Drosophila melanogaster: one gene and its partner. The protein of the gene in region 1 interacts with the protein of each later gene in a pairwise test. Each region holds a gene or a part of one and is shown on either strand. Other genes may lie near its edges.

Region 1 (8,718 bases):
TAAAAATACAGAATAAAGCTATTTGCCACTTAAACATCTCGAGTGAAGAGGGATTGATCGTAATACTTATCATATATATGAAATATTATAAAGAAAACTACTGTTAGCACGACGATAAACACAATGACAACGATTAAGCGTCGATTCCAGCACATAATTCCCTACATTTGATTTTATTGACTATTTTGTTCCAAATCAAAACAAAAAAAAAATAACCAAAGAATTTGATTAGGGTCGCAAAGGTAGATGAATCATTTTTAACTAGAGTAGGGCGCAGAATGTTTGTGACAATGACAAATTGTTTTGTTCGTTTAAAGATATGTATGTCTCATCCGTTCTAGATTGTTTAAAGACAACAATCAACTTTGTGGCAATAGAAGCGGTTTTTACCAACAACAAACTTTCTATATTTAAGGCATTACTGAGCAGGAAGTAATATACCTGTTATCATTGATCATTAACTATGGTAGGAGCTTTCTAGAAATTCTGCTCAATATGAAGAGTATTGTAATGCCTCGAGGATTTAGCAATCTCTATAAAAAAAAAACCTATTAGCTGATAGTGGAAAGTTGTCAATTAAGCTGCCAATACCAGGAATAGTACTTGAAATACCACGAAAATAACGCTGTTGGGGGATTTTTCATCAAACCTTATCTCTATGGTAAAACCATAATAGTTAAAAAAAGCCTAAAGTCGACTATCCATTTTTGTGTAATTATTTATTTAATACTTAATTTAAAAGGATATTCAATCTGATGGAAACTTACCAGCAAATAACTTTGCCAGGACATTTAAGGCATTCACAAATGGCGTTGCACATGATGATAATCCTCGTTTGAAGTGTGTGTTGTATGAGTATTCGATTGTGCTCCCGAAAATGATTTTAGCGTATTTCGATCTGATCTTGGCCAACTCAAATGGATAACTGACTCTACGCGCAGTGCCATTTTTCCCATTTCGGCGTGAAAAGTATGAAAAGCTCTCAACCTACTGATGGAAAAAGAGAGAAACCGATAAAGATTCCAGTTATAATCAATAAAATCAGAAGAGAGGTGTTAGAAAATAAAGCTTACCACATTTTTCGGAGTGGGTGGATTTGTTTCAGATTATTTGAAGTGAGTATTATAATTTTTGCAATAAATTATACAATATCATTTAATTAGAAAAAATCTAAACATATAAACGAAAATGTAATGTAAACTAATGAAATTATTTTTTTTACAACGATAAATGCTCTATAACGAAGAAAGTTTCCAGAATAAAATATTTCTTAATGTTTATTCGTGTGATTAAATAATTTTAATACTTAAAAAAATACGAATGTACTAAAAACTGAAAGCTAAACAACATTAATTGATTCCTCGGGGGTTCACTTTAGCTTTTTGGCAATTCCCAAGTGAAATCAGTCATCTATAAGCAATCTTTATAATGGCTGTAAAGATATGATAGGGTTTTTTTGTACTTTTACGCGAAGAAATACTCGTTAACATTAAGGTTATGTTAAAACTAAGCACTTAAGGTAGGTTCAGTTCACAGGAACCTTATCAATATCGCTAAAGTTCGACAAAAATAGCCTTATTATGATTTATTTATTATAGGTTATTATGGTGGTACAAAACAACCATTTTGTTGGTTTTAACTTTGATTTATTTTGAAAAATATAACAATCCAATTTTGGGTAATTTTAAGAGGAAACTGTGTCATGATTTCGATATTCTCCGATTGAAATTGGTAAGCTTTTTTTTTTTGGGACCACAAGTGAATAGAGAAACACTCCAATGCTGGTCCCCATTAATGCAGGTCGCCGATATATTCGGCGACACCCGATCCCAACTGCTGATGTAGACACTTTGGTGGACTTCTTGAACGGGCACTTACAACGTAAGCAGAGTTCTCTAGCCCTAAGCTCAGTCTGAATTCGCGTTTAAAGATGGTCACACATGGTGTCCTCGGCTTGGGATTTCTCATTGTTGGTCTAATTCTGGCCACGGACGCCTGGCTGTTATCCGAATCTGGTTTAAACGAATCCAGCTACAAAGTCCGTCATCTATCGATGCACTTTTCGCGAGTGTTTCTCAGCGTAAATGTAGAAAGCAACGATGCGCCCACTTTGATCGAGGCGCAATGGCCGGTTTCCTATTTTCCCATGCCCACTGTCGTCTTTCCCCACATCGATGTTCATTCCATGGGGGATCATGATGATTGCTCTCTGGTACAACAGGCACACTGGTCCCAGGTGGATGCACTGAGTCGACTGTGGGTCATGGACATCGGATTTCCCGGCAGCACGTGCTCACCCCGTTTGTTTGTCTTCGATCTGATGCGTAACAACGCGGAGCTATTGAGAATCGATTGTGGACACCATATAGGTGCTAATGACACCCACTTTCTGACTGTCCAAATGGGACCCAAGAGTCCGGGATGCGAGCACGAGCGCCATATTTACTTCATCCTTGGAAAGGTACCAGAAATTCTAGCCTACGACATCCTGGAGCAGACGTGGCACCGCCTATCCTTGGAGAGCAATAAGTACGAGAATATGAATCAATCGTTTCCCATCAAGCCAGTGGATTTCATCTTCGGAATTCAAGGGGAACTCATACTCTCCGACCAGGATGGTGATCTATACAGTACGGTGGACAGACTGGAAATTGAAGGCAAAAGCGAATTAGCAAGCAAACCAATTAACAATAGCATTAAACTCACACATTTGGGCAGTCTTCTGGGCAGCAGTCGCAGCATGATCATCGACAATTTCGGAACATTGTACTATGTTATCCCCAAATTCGGAGCTGTCGTACGATGTGCCAAACTAGCCAACATCACAGCCGAGGGCAACGAAATCATATATATCACATCGAAGAACATTCAGCAGATTTTCTTCACCTCCAATGATGCATTATGGGTCCTAAGTGATCGGGTCTTGAATGCGAAGGACATGTGCTTTCCTAGCTTATAACATTTAGTTTGTTAATATAAATATTAAAATTATATTTTACTTGATTCAAACACTGCTGGCCTGGTGTATATGCTGCTTTCTTTATTATTCGTTTCATCTAGCTTGGTGATGTATTTCGTTTGGTTTGATAATAATGCTATGAATAGTTAATAGACCAAAAAACAATTTAATTAATGGCTAACAGTTTGCTTATTCAGATAAGCCATTAAGGCCTGGAGCCGCTTCTTGATGTTCTTCTGATCGTCCAGAGTGCAGCCAAGCAAAACGCTCTCGAACTTCTTGTCGACCGGCCCAACATCGGCCTCGGGCACGGTGTCCATGTGTCCGGATGGATCCATTGAGCTGCTGCAGCAGGCGTTTAAGTAAAACTGGCATCGTTGGCGTCCGATCACGGGATCACCCATCTTGATCATGCTGTCAATCAATACATTTATCTGGCTAAGGGAATCCTCCTGAGAGTTGTCCCGAACAGTGCGCACACGCAGCTCCACGGTGGCCAAGCGAGAGCTCACCCGTTGTAGGTACAAAATGATCTCCTCTCGTTCAGCTGCAAAAGAAGGTGGTACAACATTAGCTCACAGTCAACTATGAATAACCCTTTACTTAGTTTGTCATCAGAAACCATTACTTCCGACTTCGAAATAATACACATTTTAGTAAAGCTATGAACAATGAGGGTTCAAATTAGTTTTAAGAATCACTGTCACTTACCTTCGCTCATGTTCTGCATCATTTCGTTGCTCTTGATCAGATCCATGGACATCAGAAGGTAGTCTTTCTTCTCCTGCAGGTTGAGTGCATCCTTGCGCAGCTTCTCCACACGTGCATCCAAACTATCCAGTATGGTGACAAATCTGCGAGTCACTCAAAGGTTAGTCACGCTCAGTGGTTATTATAAATTCAAGATTTACCTCTCGCTGGCGTTAAATGGTCTGTCACATGTCGGTTAAGTGTGATTGCGGTTCAGTGGTTAAGTCATGAAACGAGACAAGCAACGTTAGATTGTTAGATCGCTCTGCTACAGATCGACTGACCACTTATAGAGCTACGAAATTATAACCAGAATATGTCTACAAGAAAAGGCGCTCGCACACAAAGCTCTTTTGAGAGTTGTGTGGGCGTTCGCGGCAGATACTTTAAGCTATCACCATTACTATTATGGAACAAAAGATTCGAATGAAGCTGGTAGCTGGTAGTGTGAAGAAATAATAGATAAGAAACGTATAACTTTTGTTTCGCTACGAGGTTGTGTGAATATAATCGGTGGTATTGTTTTGGTTTCGTGTCTGATTTGGTTTTAGTTATGATGGAATAACAACCTGTCCAGAGCTCTACTATCGTCGACGAGTCCGTAGGAGCTGTTCCCGCCATTGCCACCACCTCCGGATCCGGATGGGGATGAGGAGGCCATGGCATCGGCCCTCAGGTCTTGCAAATGATCAAAATTCATGGATGCCTCCGAGTGGTAATCGCTGGGCGAGATCTGATGCAGCTGCTGGTGATAAGTACTATGGTGATGATGATGAGTGTCACTGGTTTCCTGCGTTGTTGGCGCATCAACTTCCATATCCTGCGGCTGCTCCAGATTTGATTTAAACCTGTCGCCCTCCAAAAAGCCGGTCAAGTGTTTGTCACCCAAGATGGTTGGATAGCTGCCTACTGTTTCGTTTTGGGTTTTGGTTTTATCTTATTTATTTTTTTTTAGCCGCTTTGCTGGCTACTTTTTTTGGAATGTCTTAAGCTTTTTTTTTCGAGTGGGTGTCGAAGTGTTTGATGCTGTTGCTTAAGCTTAATTTTATCTGTTTTTGCTTTGAAGCTGCAATAAGAGAGAAGAGGAAGCGTGAATGCGCAGAATTCAATTACCTATCTGAATGTGGGCTGTGAAAAGAGCCTTCGGTCCAGGAGGCGTCAAAGCCATCATTGGACTCGGGCGTATCGGCTTCTATATCTTCCGGATATCGGTTTATTATCTCCGCCTCCTGGGCGGGTTGCGGCGGCGGTGGCGGCGGTGTTGTGTCCGACTCGCAGCGACGCCGTTTCCGAAAAATACCTCGAAAATTCTCAAACATTCTCGGCTGAAATCACCAATTTTCTAGAAGATTACGCCTAATTCTTCTTCTTTTCTTGTGGCAACCGATGTCTAGGAGAATCCCCGGGTGGCTGTTTTGAACTTGAATAAATTACCTGCCGCCCGAGACTTGAGGCTCCGGTTTTAATGCACCTTTGGCCCGATGCAAAAATATTGTTGATTTTTCGAGTTGGGCAGTTTGAGTTAGATGACGGGAAATGCTTGTGTTTCCAGATAATTCGTAGACACCGATTAATCTAACTTTGTTAGCTTCATTTTTGAGCACCTGGGTTGTTTACTTCGAGGGTCAATCGAATATTTCGCTTTACTTAAATGAAGATAAGTATAAATATGATTAATTTAACATTATATTGTGGGATTTGTATGACCGTGTCTGACTACCGCAAAAAAGAACAGTGGCCATATAGTCAACTTTATCGAAACCGATTCATCGAACATTGTTGTCGAAAGTTAGTGTGTACACACATTAGTTCTGGTTTTCATCTGTAATCGGCGGGAGTTTTAAAAGTAGTAGTACTTTTAAAAGAAACCTCTCTAAAAGCATTTGGTATCTCCCAAAGTTCAAAAAATTGTATGCTACATATATTAAAACTTCTATTTTATTAGTGGTGCCAAATTTAAATCTCGCACACACTGAGCCGTGCGCGACCATTGACAACTTTTGGTGGCAATATCGAAGAAGTAATAGAAAGGACATTGCTGCAGGCTGGCGTGTCCTTTGACGCAGTAGATAAAGAACTCGCATCGCTGCATATGGGGATACAGATGCTGTCCGTAGGCGGGGCAGTGAATGAGATCACTCGAAATGGCGGTGCCACCGGATGGGAAACCGGAATTTCCATTCGTTGGCATATCCTCCTGACCACCTACGGTGCACTGGGCTCTCTCCGGAATATCGCATTTACCCGTCATTGCATTCCAGTGCAATTGCGAGCTGCACTCCTGCAAGATCGCCTGTCCATAGTAGCAAATATAGTACTTTCTGCAACTACTCGAGCTGCCGACATATACAATCCTGTCGCTGGATTGTTGTTGCTCCACCAACGTGGAGCAATAAGTGGCGGCATCCGTGACCATGTTATTCGGATCTCCATCACCATTTCCGCCATCGAATGGAGGAGTCTCTATGGGATCCGTTTCATTTCTGCACTTTACATTTGTCGCCGAATCGCAGAGTCTGCTCTCCGAATTGAAGAGCATCGTTGGTGGGCAGGAAGCCAGGACTGCATCCCCGTTCTCAACGCACAGGTAAAACATGTGGCAGTCCTCCGCATGCTCCACAAACTCACCAACCAAATGATTGGCACATATTCTACTACCACTCTGCCTGATGGTCACCGAGTTTGTGGGCTTCGATGGTCTCCAGGTTAATTGCGCTGTGGCCAGCAAGCAGTTCACGATCAAATAGAAAGCTGGAAACCAATAAATTCTCATCATACTATTAGTTTTGAGAATATCCATCTTACTAACCCGTATTAAGCATCATCGTTTTTTCTATCGTCAGACTCCAGTAGAGCGCAGTTATATTCTAATTTCGTAATGCCCGGTGAACTTGGCATATATGTGATACATTCGGCGCCAAGATACAGCCGCATATGTGGCTCAGTATCAGAAAATTAACATTTTCAATTGCTTGTAGGAAGAAGTTGATAAGACTCCTGTATTTTGTTTTGCCAAAAAAGAAATATGGCTCCCTTTCCTCGCAATCAATCGATATCGTATCTCGAAATGGCAAGCAGATACAACTTTAATGCTGGATTTTTAATTTTAAAGTCTGGTGAAAAGGAAGCCGAGATTAGCTAGGAAATTGATTAGGTGATATCACGATGACATATGTTGTCCTTGTGAGGAAAATCGTATCATATCGGTCAAATTACTATGTTTCAAATCGAAGGTTGGCCTATTTTGGCAAATGTTTCGATTCAAGGTCTTCATTTTGCAGAGATATGAAAGAATTGCTTGATATCACCTGATAAATTTAGGAAAGAGTCAAGGTCGGCCGTGTTGCTTGATAGTTTTACAAAGAAGTCTTATTGATTACCAGTATTTAGGTTTATTCCATATGTAAACATACAACACTTTATGTTCAATATTTTCAATTTTTCCACAAAGCTCGTTAATTAACTAAATGTAAAATTTCGTTTTTTTTTTTTAATAAATATTATTATGTGTATTTAATAAATTTTCATTTGCATTTGCAGCTTGTTGTAGCATTTGGCTTGACCTAGTGCTACACAGGATCGCTTCTCGTAGTCCCATCCGTAGAAGAAAGGACACTGCTGGACCATCAAATAGCCAGAGCGACACTGGTAAAAGTAATTGCAGTTGTCGGAATGCGGATAAACATCGATTACATGTCGCTTGCACTGCTCCCTGGGATTATAAGTCATGGCCTGTAAATAAATAATTTATTATACAAAAATTATAAGATATGAAGTACCATAGGTTAACCCACCAAACACCTAACGTTTTCGGGATGATCGCATTTTCCGGTGAGTGAATTAAAGTGCAAACTGGTGGCACAACTCATGGGAAGTGCCACACCGCGATAGCAAATGTAATAATCTGAACAGGAGTTCTGATTTGGCAGCAATGCGATACGACTCTGATTATCCAGTTGTGGGCACACATTGGTCACAATAATCTCTATAGCAGGCGATACGGAAGTCGTACTGCTGGCTCCACTTTGATTGACTGATGGTCGTAATGTGACCACTGCCGATGGGGCTAATGTGGTGATTACAACTGTGGAAATCGTACTGGACTCCGAGGTAATCTCCGTTGAGGAGCTGTCGGTAGTGTTTTCCCTTTGCACCTCCGATCCCGTGCGACAGTCGATATCGCCCATGGGCTCACACATTTCCATATCTTGACTAAAGTATTCGCCATCCTCGCATTCACCATCGTATGACTCATCGCCGTTGCAGAAGATATAATGTGCGCAACTCTTTGGCGAAGTAACAAAGGATAGGTTGTTACCATCGTTACACTCATCGAAAACATCCGCATGACTGGTGGCCAGAAATAGGAGGGACACCAGGATGGATCCAAACTTCAATACTCCAAACATCTTCTCAGCTCGATCTCGAATGGTAAACTGATCGATTGCGTATGCAAACTTTGGGGTTTTCTTACCACCTTTCGTTATCAGAAAATAATTTGCCCATGAACACGCCTTTGATAATTGCTTTATTACAAACTGGGATATGAATCTTACAAACGTAAGCCCGATGAACGATTGGGTTTTGTGGCAACGCACTGTCCCTGGGCGACATCGAAATGGAAATTCTGTGGGCACTGCTGGAGCAACAGATAACCGGAAATACACTGATAATAGTAATTGCTATTTGCCGGATAGGGATAGACCCCGTTCCTTCCACTCGTCTTGCAGATGACATAGACATCGGTGCTCGGAACTTGGCTTGTAGTCGTGGTTACAGCAATCGTTGTTGGCGTGGTAGTAGCTAAAGTCGTAGATGTAGTATTGACTGGCTCTGCGGATGGTGCTCGTTCCGTAGAGGTTCCTATGGGTCTTAATGTGGTAACCGGTGTGGTAACCACATTGGTATAACACTCCACGGCCTCACGACAATCCCCATTGCAGTAGTAGGAATCATCGCCATCGCAGTGAACAAACTCACTGCACTCCTGATTCTCATTGGTCACCTTA
Region 2 (7,630 bases), on another chromosome or scaffold:
ATTTAATTAAGAATTACTCGCAAATCCCTTCAGAAATAAATATGGCACAGGCTTACATACGGGTAAAATGTGCTCACATTTCGGCTTCTGTCCAACTTTAGCGGCATTTAATTATGGCTGTCTTCTATATTTGGAATTTATTTTGCGACTTCTTTCGACACATTAACCTAATTGGCCTTTCCCACTCAGCTGCTTGCTTTCCTGGCTAATAAATTGTTTTGAGATTACACGGATACTTAAAAGCGTATCTCAGCATTTTCATCTTCGGCACAACAACTTTTCGAATTTACCATTTGGCTCTCGCAAAAGGTAAGCAACTGTGAGTCGAGTGGGAGTGGGAATGGGAATGGTAGTCTAAACCTAATCCTTTGAAATGGTTTTTTAATGTGTGGGCCCTGGCGATGGTTCAGTGCCTCTACCTTGTCTCCGAATGGGATTAAATGTTTTTCGGGCGGGAAGCGAACTTTTGGGTTCGGGCCGTCGTCGGGCTATTAACACCTTGGCTTATTGTTAATTAGGCCCGCTTGCTAACTGATATAATCCCCGCAGGCTCGTCCTGTGGGCCAAACTTGATTTGTCATCTCGGTTAATTACTGGTTTCGAGAGCGACTGCTAAGACATTAATAGCATTAATTAACTGATGGCTCCGGGCACAGCCCATTCAGACACTCAACGACTGTCGAAAGGGGATCCAGCCTGGGGGGCCTGGAATCGATGGCATTTGAGCCAAGGCAATGGTTAATTGGAGCTGATTTAATGGTCTGGATGGAAGCTGGTGTCAGTCTTAAAGTCTCGGCTTGTTGTGCGGAGTATTAAATGCCTTCTGCGGATGGTATTTTAATATCCGTTCGCTTCACCCTCGCCAAGTCCCAGCTTAAATACCTGCACATTCCGTTTACAAGATTTCTGCTGTCTTACCAAAATCCCCCACCACTTTTCGGCGGTAAGCAGATATGACAATCACAAAGTGCTCCAAACCATGAGCTGAGCGAAAACAGAATGTCATAAAAATATACACTTGTGCCACTTGGGCCATACTCGCATACTCGTACGCACAAAGGAACACACTATGTGTGTAATCCAGGAGCCGGGCAGCAATAAGACAGGTCCTCCTAGGTTCCATAAGCCAGATTCCCGATGCTGGGATAATGGAGGCGAAAGACGCGTCGGAGCAGACAAAATAAAATCACATTTTCGGAGCCAGAGCATTTATGATCCATTATGCTCTCAACTAGGGGCTCCGGCTTTGTTTTCGCCCATAAGAAAATGACTGGGAATGAATGGGGGCTTGGGGCATTGGCCACAAGGTCAGAGCGTGGCAGAGTGATGTATACATTCAAGAGCACTTTATCGCCTGGTGGCTATTATTTGACTATAATTTTAGTTATATCTGAGGAGCTCATGAGCACAGGTGCTGCGACATCATGACAACAGAGAGAGCTTCTTTCAAAATCGAAATATGCAAATAGGTTTTAAAGAACTTATGGCCGGAACGAGGGCTTTAACATATTTACCCCGGACTGGTTGGAGAATTTCATATATAACCAGACCCAGACCGACATTCCGGTGCAAATATGCACCATGTTGTCACAGGGCATTGTGGGTAAAATAAGTTAAATAAAATAAAATCGAGTATGCATGTGCATGTGTGCTTGATCAAATTGCAGTCACTTGTCGGCGTGGGTGTGTGGGTGTGTTTATTGTTGACACATTTTGAGACGTACCCTGCAATATGGATATCAAGTGCGAATGCCATGGCTCGGCACTAGAGAAAGTACAAAACACGTCGTGGAGGTGAAAGTTGGACCAACTGCGATGATAATACGCCATCTGATGCACCAGGGGGGCGTGGCACTCGAGAATAAAAACGCTTAAGTGGTTCAATGTCTATGGAGGCACCCATCAACCATCCAGACCGCCCAACCACCCACTTTGACGTTGATTGTTGAGCGATAAGAGCGTTGGCTTAATGACACTTGGCCCGGCACTCTTAGCCCGGTCGGGATGTCCTTCAGCTGACGTCCTCGTTGGCGGCTGAGTGGGGGCCATTAATGCATCGGATTAACCCAACCATATGCAGATATGAGTATATCCCCCGTCGAAGCTCGTCTATCCTTCAATCGTGCTGTGCCGCAGACAATCGCATTAATCATTTAATTGTGACCGCAAAAGCCCTACCATATTAACAATCAATTAATTCTATGCGAATAGATTTTTTAATGTGCATTGTTTTTATCTGCACTCGAATATGGGCACCATATGTTATTGATATTGTTTAATCCGATTTAAAAAGGGACTGAATCGACCAGCGCCCTGCCTTTGATTTAATACACGGCCTCGGATGAGTAAAAAATACACAAATATTATAAATTAAAAGGCCGTGCAAATCAGTGGTTTCTATTGTTATTACTTTGCATTGCTGCTCCATTTATCCACACTTTGTCGCACAGTCATTCAAGTGCCACGGCCACTAATTGTCCATCCTGCCAACGGTTGAACGGACTTAAAAACACCGATTGCATTGACAAAAAGTGTCAAAACCATTTCATGGCCCATTTAACCAGCGATTACAACAAGCCAAAAGCGCGGAAAATAAAGCCAAATCCGGATGCAGCAAATGAGCAACAAATAATGAAGCTCTTAAATATGTGGACATGGGGACACAATAGTATTCAATAGTATTCAGTTAAAGTAGCTAACTGGCCAAAAAACAATGGGAATTAGAAGTGCAGTGAAGTTACAATGGCTGATGTGAAGTTCGCTTTTAATGACGTGCATATTTGCTGATTTTAATTTAATCACTAATTACACGAATGCAAGTTTGCATTTATGAGGCCACCGCAGTGTTAATTCCGTTCAAAATAGTTGAAAATAATTAAATTGAGCTTCATAGTTTAGTACTTTACATATGTACGCATACGTATGTGCGCCTCATTATACATCGAATTAATAATTGATGCCGAAATGTGCAATTTCACGTTGTTTTCCACATCAAAGCATATTCAGACGCGCCGCGGCACGCACTTTATGTTCCAGTTAGTTATAGTTTATAAAAACGCATATGGCAGATAATTAAGTGGGCTCACGCTCTAATCCAGATGGCTTCTCGCAGTTATAGTTTTCAATCCAGGTGACCTATGCCAGTTAGTTCGACCCATCCCCTCCAAATCCAATCAGTCAAACATTTCTTACCACACACGTACAACCCGAACCCCGCTTAGTCATTTCAAATTCAAGTATATAGACTACATTGATTTTGGAAGAGTTAGCCACAATGTTCATCCGCGGAGATGCGCCACAAGCTTCCCGGGGCAAAATTCCCCAGATCCCCAGCTCCATGACGCCCTATGTGGCGGCAGTGAAGCGCGGACCCTACACAATGACCAATCCGGTGTACAACACCCACAATCCCAACCTGGTGGGCTTGGATGGCCAGGTGGAGGATTCCCGGCCCAAGCACACCTTTAATGTGAAGAGGCAAGAGCTGGAGAATAACTACCGGCACCACCAGCGGCTGATCCCCGTGCCCACTTCCCGGAGGACGATGCCCAAGATCCGATCCCACATAGTGATGAACGAGCAGCGGGAGCTGTATCGCCAGCACCGCGATCGAATGTCCAACATCAAGGGCAAGGTCAACACCTATCTGCCGCCCCCGAAGGTGCAGATCGAGGGAAATGGCATGGAGCTCTCCTACATGGAGATGCTGACCGCACTCTACAAGAAGAGCAACAACACGCTGCGGACCTTCACCAAGTCGCCGGAGCGCCTGGCAGCCGGCAGGTGGCGCAATGCCAACTTGGCCCGGGAGAAGGAGCGCCGCCAACTGGAGAAGAACAAGGAGTTCCACAAGGGAGGCGAGCTGTTTGACCCAGAGGCGGGCAAGTCAAAGCGGTACAAGCCCAAGTCCTCGGGCTCCTTCAGCTGCGAGATTCCCATGCACGTGCTCCATCGCTACGAGAACTTGATGGACCAATGCGACGTGGGCGTTCTGTGCAAGCTGCTGCGTCCGCAGATCTACCTGGACATCGAGGTGCGGGAAGCCCGCATCCAGGGCAGGCTGATCATCCAGCTCTTCACCGAGGCCTGTCCGCAGGTGGTGCTGGAGTTCATGAGGATCTGCACCCAGAACAACAGTAGCGCCATCGTATTCAACCGCGCCCTGGCGCCCATTTGGATGGAGGGACGACTGGCCATGGATCCGCAGAGAAGCACCGAGCTGACCAACATCGAGCACGACTTCGAGGTGCTGAACCACGGAGTGGACGCCGGAATCCTCTCCTTTCCCAGTCGCTATGTCAGGGGAAACGCCCGGACTGCCGTCAACTTCACCATCAGCTTTAAGCCCCTGTCCATTCTCAACGGCAGGAGAATCGCCTTCGGGAAGGTTCGCAAGGGCATGCAGCTCCTGGAGAGGATTCAGGTGGCCGTCGGACACCTGCCCATGAGCCACAACTTGATCTCGCTGACGGACTGTGGAGTGATCTGAGAGGTGTAAAATTTCCAGTAGATAGTTGGGATCTACTCATAACTTTTCGAAGAAAATTAATTAGGATCAATTGCTAGGCGGAAATCTATATTCTTATTCTTAAGCCATGTCACCCCACTTAAAGCTGCTGTAAACCACAAGTAAATGATTAATGTGCATAGATACATAGATACGAGATACACTTGTGCATTCATTCCAAGTATCTTGAATATGGGTTTGATGGATCACAATCCCTTTGGATATGCTGTTTCCTCCTTCATATATATATACTTCGATATTTCAGTTTTCCGTTTGAATCAGGCGAAGCAAGTCACAAAGCATTATACACTTTTTCTAGAATTCAGTAAGTTTGCTCACTTCAACTTCTTTACGGAATCGATTCATTCTGTACTAGGTAATCCTCGACATGTATATGGTTTGTGACGGATTGAACAGCCCCAGGCTGCAGGGAGGAAAGGAAGCGGAAGCGGATGGGAGTCAGTGGCCGTTTCCGGACAAGTACCACATGAGGAACACCCGGATCCTTCAGGTGTCAAAGGCTCAAATCAGCGAGGTGCCCATGGAGGTATTCGAGGCAGCTCAGCAGGAGCTAGTGAATATCGTGAGCTTGGATGGCAACAGGTTGCTCGAGATGCCCAAAGATCTGCCCTTGCTCTCCGAGCACCTCACCCAGTTGGTCCTGAACAAAAACCAGATCTCCTTCGTTCCCACCAACATCTCGCAGTACTCGAAGTTGACTAACCTGAGCCTCTCCAACAATCTTCTGTGCGACTTGCCCATGGAGTTGGGCGGACTGCGGCTGCTCCGCAATCTGGACATCTCCCACAATCGCTTCCGCCAGTTGCCACGCTGCATCTACGAGCTAGAGAGACTGGAAACCTTGTCGGCCCACGACAACCAGATCCGTGCCATCGATGCTAGTGAATCGGGCCTGGGCGGAATGCGGGAACTGAAGAGATTGAACTTGGGAAACAATGACATCCAAATAGTGCCGCCGATCTTGGGCAAAATGCAGAATCTCGTGGAATTGGAGCTGTGGGGAAATCCCTTCCGCCAGCCCCGCCACCAGATTCTATCGATGGGGACTCCGGCGCTGCTCAGCTACTTGCGCACCCGCATTCCTATATAAATCATATATTATTTATTATTAATTCAAATCAAATTTCAAAGTATTGCCAAATAAATTGACAGCAGTGCAGTTTAGCCCCTAATTCCGTAGTTTTGCTTAAATCGTGCTCATGGAAGATTCCTCACCAAAGATTCCTCCTTGGGTAAGTTTCTGGCAGCCTGAGTTTGCTGAACTCGTAATGATAGTAAGCTCTGATTCCTGCGTCATCAAATCAAATAGGTCAAAACCTAGTTGGCTGGGAAGAGGACACTACTATACTCACTACTAGTTACATTTGCGAAGCCCGAAAATGTCCAGAAGTTCGAGGTTATCAGTAACTGAAACTCAGCGCAAAAGCACTCCAGTGGTAAAGAAGGCGGTTATGTAAGTTGGAACACGAAATCGTCAACAGCAACAGACCCCTTGACCTGCTCCGCATTTGTCCATCTCCCTAGTCGCAGTCGATCCTACGATGGGGATGCGTTCGTCAATCTCTTCGCCCATCGCGGCGCCCGAGACATCATGATCTTGGATAGCCATGGAGTGCCCCTCCGATCCACCTGCAGTCAGAGACGCACCTTCGTGTTCGTCTCTAACCTGAAGCCGCTGCTCTTCATGGCCCGCAACGTGGTCAGGGATCTGGACCCCTCGAACGACATAACCTTCATGCGGATTCGCTCCAATATGGGCGAAATCCACATGACCCTGGGCACGGACTTCATTTTGATCGTTGTGCAGAAGCTGAGGAGGCTCAGGAGCAGCTCAACATCATAAAACATTTCCGGTCGCTGTGCGTGTGTGTGTGCGGATGTTAATTGTACTGTATCCATATTCCACCCAAATTAAATTGCATGCAATTGCGGCAAATGAGCAAAGGTCACAGTGGATTGGGCGGAAAATTGTAAAATTTAGGAAAAGCCCAGCGAGACCAGAGCAAACTAATCCGTTTATGCAGCGCTTGCAATCCGGAAAACGCATCAAAGCGGCAATTAGTGCAGCCTCGGATGCGTCAGTTGTATCGTGGTTTGGAATCCAACGACCTCTCAATTGGGTCCGCCACATTCATTAATCTTCGCTGGTCTTTGGTAGTTGGCCTTTGGCTTTCTGAAAGCCACGATGCAGCTTCATTAAAACCCAATCACGCTGGCTGTCAGTAAGCCAAAGACCCCACTGCGCATCGCTCGATGGCCACAGATTACCGGAAAAATTAATGGATAATGGCAATTACACTTGGGCGGGCTCACAACGTGACTTTCGGGAAATCGTTACATGAGTACAGTTTCACCTGTAGAGCGAATAAAATATTTTGGATTTTTTTGCAGATCCATTGGAAGTCGAGATATGAAAAGTAACATAAAAACTATACAAATTCCTGTGGATCAGTTTACCCAATCAAACATGCGATGAATATAATCAATAGAAGGCACACATCGAGCTTTGTTTGTATGCCTCGTTTAGGTTTGCCTCGTAATTTATAGAACAAAAAAATCACAATTTCCCAGGGGACGAAATGTTAAACTCCTACAATGAAATCTGGTTGCTTTGTGCCCATTGTTCGGCAAATAATTCGGCATTGTTTTAGTTTCCAATTGCCCGTGTTTATTCAACCTGTTGTTGGAGCAGGAATACGAGTATGGCATTTTGCCGGGGGCTTACGAATGTATTTTGGCGGTGTTTAAGCTGTCAGGATACATGTGCTGCCCGTTGGTTCCGTGCTCTTTTATTATTCAATGTGGTGAAAATATTTATATTACGGCCAGACAGAGCAGCAAATCCGCTAAATGCAAGTGTTCCCTGGTTCGTAAGTAAGTGTGACCGTTATGAATGGGTTTTTGAAGCGGGATAATCCTCCTATCGTATTACTGGCCATGCTGAAAGGCCGCAATCGCCGGCTCCATCAAAGGAGTTGAAGAGTCGGTTGGGACATCGCTCGACGTGATTAAGTGACCAAACAGCGGAGCGTTCGACACATGTTGACATTTAATTTATTTGATGCGATTCGAGTCGATTCGATTCGATTGGATTCGATCGGA

What was found.
Region 2: the proteins of CG7945 (region 1) and CG3492 interact in a two-hybrid assay, tested with the Drosophila melanogaster proteins (one large-scale study listed by BioGRID).

The regions. Positions count from the first base shown.
Region 1 is NT_037436.4:15,518,690-15,527,407, forward strand, and holds CG7945 (uncharacterized protein), read right to left. Parts: upstream 5,449-8,718; 5' UTR 5,144-5,448; exon of another isoform or gene 5,029-5,143; coding exon of another isoform or gene 4,823-5,028; intron 4,776-4,822; 5' UTR 4,527-4,775; coding exon 4,279-4,526; intron 3,892-4,278; coding exon 3,871-3,891; intron 3,814-3,870; coding exon 3,671-3,813; intron 3,507-3,670; coding exon 3,130-3,506; 3' UTR 3,022-3,129; downstream 1-3,021. Other genes in the region: mex1 (midgut expression 1), read right to left, coding at 768-820; yellow-k, read left to right, coding at 1,931-2,959; CG33986 (uncharacterized protein), read right to left, coding at 5,643-6,460, 6,519-6,534; CG33985 (uncharacterized protein), read right to left, coding at 7,223-7,441, 7,504-8,118; CG42729 (uncharacterized protein), read right to left, coding at 8,262-8,718.
Region 2 is NT_033778.4:24,469,564-24,477,193, forward strand, and holds CG3492 (uncharacterized protein), read left to right. Parts: upstream 1-3,148; 5' UTR 3,149-3,274; coding exon 3,275-4,489; 3' UTR 4,490-4,663; downstream 4,664-7,630. Other genes in the region: CG3494 (uncharacterized protein), read left to right, coding at 4,896-5,618; CG16837 (uncharacterized protein), read left to right, coding at 5,908-5,981, 6,053-6,371.